Canis lupus familiaris: one gene and its partner. Each later gene encodes a partner of the first gene's protein in a complex. Links are inferred from orthologs where the notes say so. Each region holds a gene or a part of one and is shown on either strand. Other genes may lie near its edges.

Region 1 (4,309 bases):
ATGCAATTTTAGGTCTTAACCAATTTTACCTCTTAACCATGTTCCCCATAAATGGGCCTCCAGATTAATCTAACAAAAGGAGATCCCTAACTTACCAGTTTTTCTTTTCTCTAAAACTTTCCTAAAAATCCATCTTTCTTGGCATTGACCGCCTTCCTGTCTTCACCACCTCATACAGCCAAGTCAAGCCAACTATCCACTCCAGTCAACAGTAGTGGCTTTAGCTAATTCCCTAGAAGTTAAAGTTTGGGCCCCTGGAAGCCCCAGAGGGTGGGTGATCCTCTGGATGTGCCTGGGACTGAAGGAGATCCTGGGCTGACGGGACCACTGGGTGTGGCTCTGGGGCAGTGGACCGCAAGGCCCAGCAGGTGTTCAGCCCCAGGCTCCCGACGCCCCCCCCCCCCCCCCACGCACCTCCCTCGGTCGGTCGGTCGGCGGGAGCGGAAACTGAGGCACAGCGAAGGCCCAGTCCCAGGCCAGCTCCCACCCTGCTCCTTGGGCCTGGCCTCGGCTTTCTGGCCCCCTCCTCCTGGTCCCCCTGCTCCCGTGCTCCCCCGTCCTTGGGATCCTGCTCCCCTGCGCGTCCTCCCCTCCTCCTGCTCCCGGTCCTCGGGATCCTGCTCCCTCTGCCGGTCCTCCCCTCGTCTCCTCCTCCCCTCCTCCTGCTCCCCGTCCTCCGGATCCTGCTCCCCTGCGCGTCCTCCCCTCCTCCTGCTCCCGGTCCTCGGGATCCTGCTCCCTCTGCCGGTCCTCCCCTCGTCTCCTCCTCCCCTCCTCCTGCTCCGGTCCTCGGGATCCTGCTCCCCTGCGCGTCCTCCCCTCCTCCTGCTCCCGGTCCTCCGGATCCTGCTCCCTCTGCCGGTCCTCCCCTCGTCTCCTCCTCCCCTCCTCCTGCTCCGGTCCTCGGGATCCTGCTCCCCTGCGCGTCCTCCCCTCCTCCTGCTCCCGGTCCTCCGGATCCTGCTCCCTCTGCCGGTCCTCCCCTCGTCTCCTCCTCCTGCTCCCTCTGCCGGTCCTCCCCTCCGTCTCCCCCGCCCCTCCTCCTCTCCCGCCCGCCCGCCCTCCCTCCGCGCTCCTCCGGCGTCCTCCTCCCCTCCCCGCCTCAGGCGAGCTGACGCCGCCCGGCAGGAATGCGTTTCCGGAGGGAGGGGAGCAGGAGCGGCCGCGGCGGCCGGAGGAGCAGGAGCGGCGGGGCCGAAGAGGCGGTGCCGCGGGGGTCGTTTCCTGCCGGGAGGCGGCTCCGGGCGGCCGAGTCTCCTGCCCCCGCCCCCGAGGAGGAGGAGCCGCCGCCGCCGCCGCGCCCGAGAGCCGGGAGGCCGCGCTAGCCGTCGGGAGAGGCCGAGCCGAGTCCCGGAGTCCCGGAGCTGCAGGCCCCAGCCGACCGCGGCCCGGACGCCCCGGAGAAGGTGGCGCCGTGTGTGCGCGCGTGTGTGCGTGTGCGCGTGTGCGCGTGTGTGCGTGTGGCGGGCGGCGCGGGCCGGGGCGCCGCGGCCGGGCCTGCGTGGGGCGGGGGCGGGGGCGGGGCGGCGGGCGCGGTGGCGGGGCTGCGGGACGAAACGCTGCCCCGGGGCCGGGGCGGGGGCCGGGGCCGGGGCGGGGGCCGGGGGCCGGGGGCCGGGGGCCGGGCCGGCTGCGCCCGCCGAGGCCCGGAGCTCGTCCCGCCGCCTCGCGAGTGGGGGTCGCGGGCCTGGGCGCTGTCCCGCCGCGGTGGGGGGCCCCGAGCGCGCGGAGCGAGCCGGCCTGCCTCGTGGGCCGCCTGGGCCCGGGTTCCGCGTGCGGGGAGGGGCGAGCGGGGCCGCCCGCGGCCCGAGGCCCCGGGGCTTGGAGCGAGCCCTTGCGGCTTCCCTTTGTTCCCGGTCCCGTCGGGGCCGCTCTCCCCCGAGCGGCCTGGAGCGTAGTAGCGCGCTTCCCGCTTGCAGAAGTCGGGCCGCAGCCTTCAGGGCCTGCTGCCGGGGCTAACTGCGGGCCGGGCCCAAAGAGAGGCGGGCGTCGGGAGCCGGGGAAGGCGCGGGCTTGGCGACTTGGGGTGTGTGAGGGCCGCGCCGAGTGGGGGGTCCCTCAGCAGGGGGCCGGCCAGGGGCTCCCGCGGCTCTGCAGGAGCCAGTGCCCACCTGCCCTGGGGCCCGGCCTCTTACTGCGCCTCAATTCTTGGGCTTCCTAACAAGTTGTAGTTACTACCAATATTTTATGCCTAAGTCATTTTTATTTCATCGAATTTGTACTTTTTAGTCAAAAACTAACACTAGTAAATTACCCTCTTGGGGCTTCCATTTCCTCACCCGTAAAATGGGAACAAGAATACCTACACTAATAATAAAAGCAGCTATTCTAGTAAGGACAGTGCGGGCCGTGGTTAGCTCTACGCACTTTACCTGTGTTTATCCTGGAACCAATACAATGAGGTAGGTGCAGTTTTTATACTCATTTTACTAGTGAAGAAACTGAGGCACAGGAGGCCTAAGTAATTTGCCTCTGATCATCCAGCCTAGTGAGTGAAGAACCCATGGGGTCTAGCACCAGAGCCCATGTTTGAATCACAGGTTCAAGTAACAGGTTCCATAAAGACCATAGAGTTGTGAATATCAGATGTAATATGTAAAACAGCTTACAGTAGATGCTAAATGCATAGGACTCCTTTCTGTCTCTTCTTGATATATGAAAAAGATTTAAAAAAAAATCTCAGGACGTAATTGATCCGCTATGCTGTTATTTTTGGTTGTTTTGATGGTATAAAAATAATGTGAAATAAATGTTGGTTAGGCATTTTTCCGAAAGGGCATACAGCCTTTAGTTATATTAATAGACCACTTTTAGAAATGATTAAGGAATTTCAGGTGGAAGTTAACCTAGTCTACATCTGTGAACATCTACACCCACAGGGGATGGTAATTAAGAGTTCACTACAGTGTTCATATTTTTAAATAATTTTAGTTCATTGATCAATATTAAATGAGTGGCTTAAGATAATGAAGTGATACATAGGAAACAGAGGGACAGGTCTGTTGGGGACAGGGCTCTGGGGAAAAAGCCATTTATTTATTTGAAAATTCATAAAATGGAAGATGTTATTAGAATGTTAGCTAAAAAGACAGGGGATGTGGTTAATACTTTTGTAAATAGAAAGCAAATAAATTCCAAATGAAGGTATCTGTGTTGACTTCACAGACTTAAAATTTAGTTTTTGTAATGTTGAGTCTCTTTAAAAGAATGCTGAATTCTCCATTATGATTATTTTATATTACTATTTTATAATACCCTCAACAGTCTGTACGTGAAAAAATATAGAATCAACAATATTGAAAATTGCTAGGTTTAGTGATTTTAACAATTAGGTGGTTTTTTTCTTAACTCTCTGGTCAATATAATTAAAATCTGGCCCAAATTTCCATCACTGAATGAATATGCAGTTCTGCATGGTTATCAATAAACTCCTAACTCCAGGAGCTTCTCTGGGGACGTCTGGTCATTTTGTAATAGGCAGAATTAATCAGTTTAATGTGCCAGTTTTAACGGAATACTTGCCACATAATAGCTTTATTGTTTGGCTTCTTGTCAAATAAATTGCGGCTTACGATATGGGGGTGGGGTAGTATAACACTCTACCTCAGGAAAATATTTTTCTTTGATATTCGGTTGGTACACTGGTCTGTTCTTAACTACACTGCTGGAATGATGAGATGAAACATCTTTTGCCGGTTCAAAGTTGCAGAACTTCTGACTTCTGAGATTTTCAGTTTCTGAATGTATAAAAGCTTGAATGTATCTAAGGACTTATATGGACTCTTGTTAAATTTTAGATTTCCTCACTCTGCATGGAAAGTTAGGATGTATCAGGTTGGGGTAGAATCCTAGAGGATTATACTGTGCAAATATGAAAATATGTCTTGTGGTATTAGTGGGTCTGTTCTAACTTTGGTCATATATTGTGGGGGTTTTGTTCTTTTTTGTTGTCATAGTGGGAGTCTTGGGGAAGGGGGATGGATTGACAGGGATAACAGTAAGGAAGAGTGCCTTAGTCTTCAGGATCCTGAAATGGAAGCAGTATCTATAAATGTAGAAGGCTGAAAAAATATGACAGTATGTACTTGGGTTAAGGGAGTTGCAATCCATAAAACTCAGAACATTAGCAGCAGCCTCAGAATATTTCAGTGAGTAAGCTGAAAAAAAAAAAAAAAAAAGTGGTAGGTCTTCCTCAGGAGCCATGTGCAAAAGGAGCCAGCCTATACTCTAAATTTTTCAACTTTTCAGAGGTGGCCAATTATGAGACTTACAAAGTTATGTTTATAAAATAATATAGAGTGGGTTTTTA
Region 2 (3,812 bases), on another chromosome or scaffold:
TGTTTTTATCATTGCATGGAGGGGTTGTTAGAGTGGAAGGGAAATTCCTAAGCATATTCCTAAATTAGATAAGGGAAAACAGTCATTCTCTTTGCATCCTCCATTTACACATTTTCTTTTTAAAAATTATGACTGAAAACAAACATAAAAGGGTTAGGACTTCGAGGGAAGGTTCTTTTACTTAACATTATTCTGAACTTTGAAGTCTTAATTTAATCCAGTCTCCTTAATTTTTGTAATTTAAAATGATGGAGGATATATTGTCAGTTGACTAAGTCAACAAGTTTTAATTAATGTAGCCTCTACTACATGTATGTCCCTGTTGAACACTGAGGAATTGGAAGATAAAATACCCCTGCCTTTGGGGCTTAATTATAAAATGTATCTTTGTTTGCAAAACTTTATCTTCCCGTTTGCTTTACTAGTTTATTTGTAAAGCTGTTGGAACCAGTTCAGCTATTAACTGAGAAAATGTTAACATAAAATTGTTCTTAGTTTATGTGCATTTATTCAGTTACATCAAGCTGTCTTAAAACAGGGTGTGGATTTCAAAGAGTGATAAACGTGGATATGTTTGTCACTGGATGCTTGACTAGAGCACTTCATTTTTTTGAATTGGACAAAAAAACTTATGTTACAGTTTTTAAGATTCTTTACTCTTAAATTCATCTAAAATATTTACTTCGGTTTATAATTCACATTAGGAAAATCTGTTTTTCTTTTTTCCATTTCCTTTTCCTTTTCATTTCGTTTCTGTCTTCTGTTGTTACCTTTCCTTTACCTTCTGAATTCCTGTCTTTCCTTTCCTATAGGCACCGATGTTCTTTACATTGGCCCTCTGAAAGGTGAGCCTTGCCACAATTAAAAACTTGATCTGTCTGCTTCAGCTATATTCTTAACATTTAGCTTCTAATTCCCTTGAACTGTTTTCCCCAGAATTTCTGCCAATGTAATTATATTCTTTTGACCTTGTTATTTATTATATGTTCTAATGTTGTACAAGTAGAATTAAAGTTAATTTTACATGTTTTCAAGACAGGTAAAATAATGTACTAAGCTCTTCCATAATGAAACTTGTTTCACAATTTGCGTTATATAGCATGTATTATTAAAAACTAAAATTCTGTACTTCATTCATACTTATTACCTATTTTTCATGTTATTTATTAGGAAGTATATATTCAAGCCCAGGACTTTACAGTAAAACAATGACCCCCACTTACGATGCTCATGATGGAAGCCCCTTGTCACCAACTTCTGCTTGGTTTGGTGACAGTGCTTTGTCAGAAGGCAACCCTGGTATACTTGCTGTCAGTCAGCCAATCACATCACCAGAAATTCTGGCGAAAATGTTCAAGCCTCAGGCTCTTCTTGACAAAGCAAAAATCAACCAAGGGTAAGTTTTAAAATACAGAAACATTGAGGGACGCCTGGGTGTGGTTCAATCGGTTAAGCTCTGACTCATTATTTCAGCTTGGGTCATGATCTTTTGGGTCATGGGATTGAGCCCCACATCAGGCTTGTATACACGCTGTCTCTCAAATAAATTTTTTAAAAATTAATGAATTAAAGACACACTGAAGAATTTCTTTCTCCAACTAGAGGTAGAAATATTTTATTAATCTTGTCTTGCATTCCACTGCTCTTGTTAATTTGTCCAGGTGGCTTGATTCCTCAAGATCTCTTATGGAACAAGATGTGAAGGAAAATGAGGCCTTGCTTCTCCGATTCAAGTATTACAGCTTTTTTGATTTGAATCCAAAGGTACCGAGGGTTTAGAGGGATCTCTTTTTTTTTTGGTTCATTTGGATGTTTGTTTTTTAGAATTGATGGGGTAAGTAATCATTTGTATATAGAACATCTGAATAATATTACAAACCCAAGCTTTAGACAAAGGCATCTGTATTTGAAATAAGTATTGTGTTCCTAGGTTGGGAACATAATTAAACTTTTTCTTTTTTGTTAAAATAATTGAATTTTTGGTTGATTTGTATTTTAAATGCACTAGCTTGGTACTATAGAATTGATAAAGTTAGTTTTAGGGATTTTTTTTTTTAAGTCTCTCTTTAAGCTGTGATTTTAGTAAAATAAGAGTTTCTGGAAAAAAAAGTGTTTCTGAAATAGTACCTTTTCAATGACTTTCAAATTTCTAATTATAAATCACAAGATGTTGCTTCAAAGAAAAACTAAGTCTACATTTCTTCCTACTTAGTTAGGCAAACATTGTTATATATTTTTACTATCAAATGACTGCATCATCTGTCCTACTGAAATACTTTGCTTTTCTGAGAAGAGTAAATTTGATAAGAAATCTTGGAGTATTTTTCCCTAGAAAACATATGGCATGGTGTTTTGGATCTTTTGCTTCCTTATTATCGTTCTTAGGTGAAAACCTCTCTTGGCTACTTCTCATCCTTTTCATGTCTAGATTATAGTATAGATTTTAATGTATATGCTTACCATTTTTTATTATGTGCTTAAGTAATTCTTTAACGGTAAAATGTATAATTTGGAACTACAAAAAACAGTCTTAGTCCCCTCAGGCCATATCATGTCTCATTTCAGTAAAACCAAAACTGTTTTGGGAACGTAAGTTATATTTGCTAGGGAAGAGGGATGCCATATGTTTTGTTACCACTCTAAAATAGTATTGCTAGTACATTACTATTAATTTTTATTAACATAACTAAATGGATAATTCAGTAACATATAAGTAAATCTTTACCACAAGTATATATATGTACTCTGTATTTCAGATTCTTAATATAATTACTAAGGACCTAGTACTTTGTCTAAGTATGCTTTTCCATAGTGAGCAGGGTGTTCCCTGAAGTAACTTACTCCCTGACTGTAACATTTTAGTGTGGCAGGTTGCAATAACAAGTGAAAATCAGTCACTTGTACCTTACTTTAAATGTCTCTCAAGTTAGATTCATTTTGTTAAGAGCTCTGTAATATCTAATTATTATTTCCCTGTAAAATAACATACAGAATCTTATTTCTAATACTGAGTAATAATATTTTGGCATATTTTTAATGTCATTTTTAATGGAAAATTAGATGTGGGAATATATAGATATACCTAACCCGATAGGTATCCTTGTTATTGAGCATTTGATACTGTATAAAAATCCCAGAAAAAAAGTATATTAAAACTTTTTGTTAAGCTTTGAAAGTGAATATTCACTTTTCAAACATTTTTATGTTAAGGGTGATGTAGTAAAAAGATTGTGTCTCTTTTGCTGCAGTATGATGCAATCAGAATCAATCAGCTTTATGAGCAGGCCAAATGGGCTATTCTCCTAGAAGAAATTGAATGCACAGAAGAAGAAATGATGATGTTTGCAGCCTTACAGGTAGTGGAGAGTATTGGTAAATGGGACTTTCAAGGGAAAGAGTAGGGGATTATTTTTAAATAAAGTAGCATTGTAATTCCAGTAGTATTTTGATAGTGTTTACTTTTTGCTGTGTGGAAACTGAATACACTTAAAGACAAATCCATGAATTTAATTTTTTTGTCATCTCATCTAAGAGTTTGGTGGTGGTGTACTGTTAGTGGTATACTTAACAGCTATTTTTCTGTATCCTATAGGAGAAATACATTGTCCTACCTCTAGATATATAGTAGCTTAACACTACCCCATTTTCCCTTAGAAATGGGATCTGTGTTGAAAATCACATTTCTAAAATGAAGCTTATTACTTGCATAATTTCCTAAGTAGCTGGGGATGATAATGTTTGTTAAATGGCTATAGCAAAAATAATACATTTTAAAGGTGATAAAATAGTGAAACTAAACATAAAAAAGTTTT

What was found.
Region 2: the proteins of ITGB1 (region 1) and FERMT2 are in contact, whole or in part, in a crystal structure (PDB 8TEE), measured with the Mus musculus proteins. The link is inferred for Canis lupus familiaris from reciprocal best matches to the Homo sapiens genes ITGB1 and FERMT2. Residues at the interface, in NP_034708.1 of Mus musculus: Ala786, Val787, Thr788, Thr789, Val790, Val791, Asn792, Pro793, Tyr795, Glu796, Gly797; in NP_666166.2 of Mus musculus: Phe609, Ser610, Asn611, Met612, Lys613, Gln614, Trp615, Asn616, Val617, Asn618, Trp619, Glu620, Ala629, Asp630, His647, Ile654, Ser657, Thr658, Lys674, Leu675, Ser677, Gly678.

Annotation. Positions count from the first base shown.
Region 1 is NC_049223.1:3,937,830-3,942,138, forward strand, and holds the start of ITGB1 (integrin beta-1), read left to right. Parts: upstream 1-1,248; 5' UTR 1,249-1,406; intron 1,407-4,309.
Region 2 is NC_049229.1:29,345,952-29,349,763, reverse strand, and holds part of FERMT2 (fermitin family homolog 2), read left to right. Parts: intron 1-812; coding exon 813-845; intron 846-1,170; coding exon 1,171-1,396; intron 1,397-1,661; coding exon 1,662-1,764; intron 1,765-3,248; coding exon 3,249-3,356; intron 3,357-3,812. UniProt on the Homo sapiens protein: Scaffolding protein that enhances integrin activation mediated by TLN1 and/or TLN2, but activates integrins only weakly by itself. Binds to membranes enriched in phosphoinositides.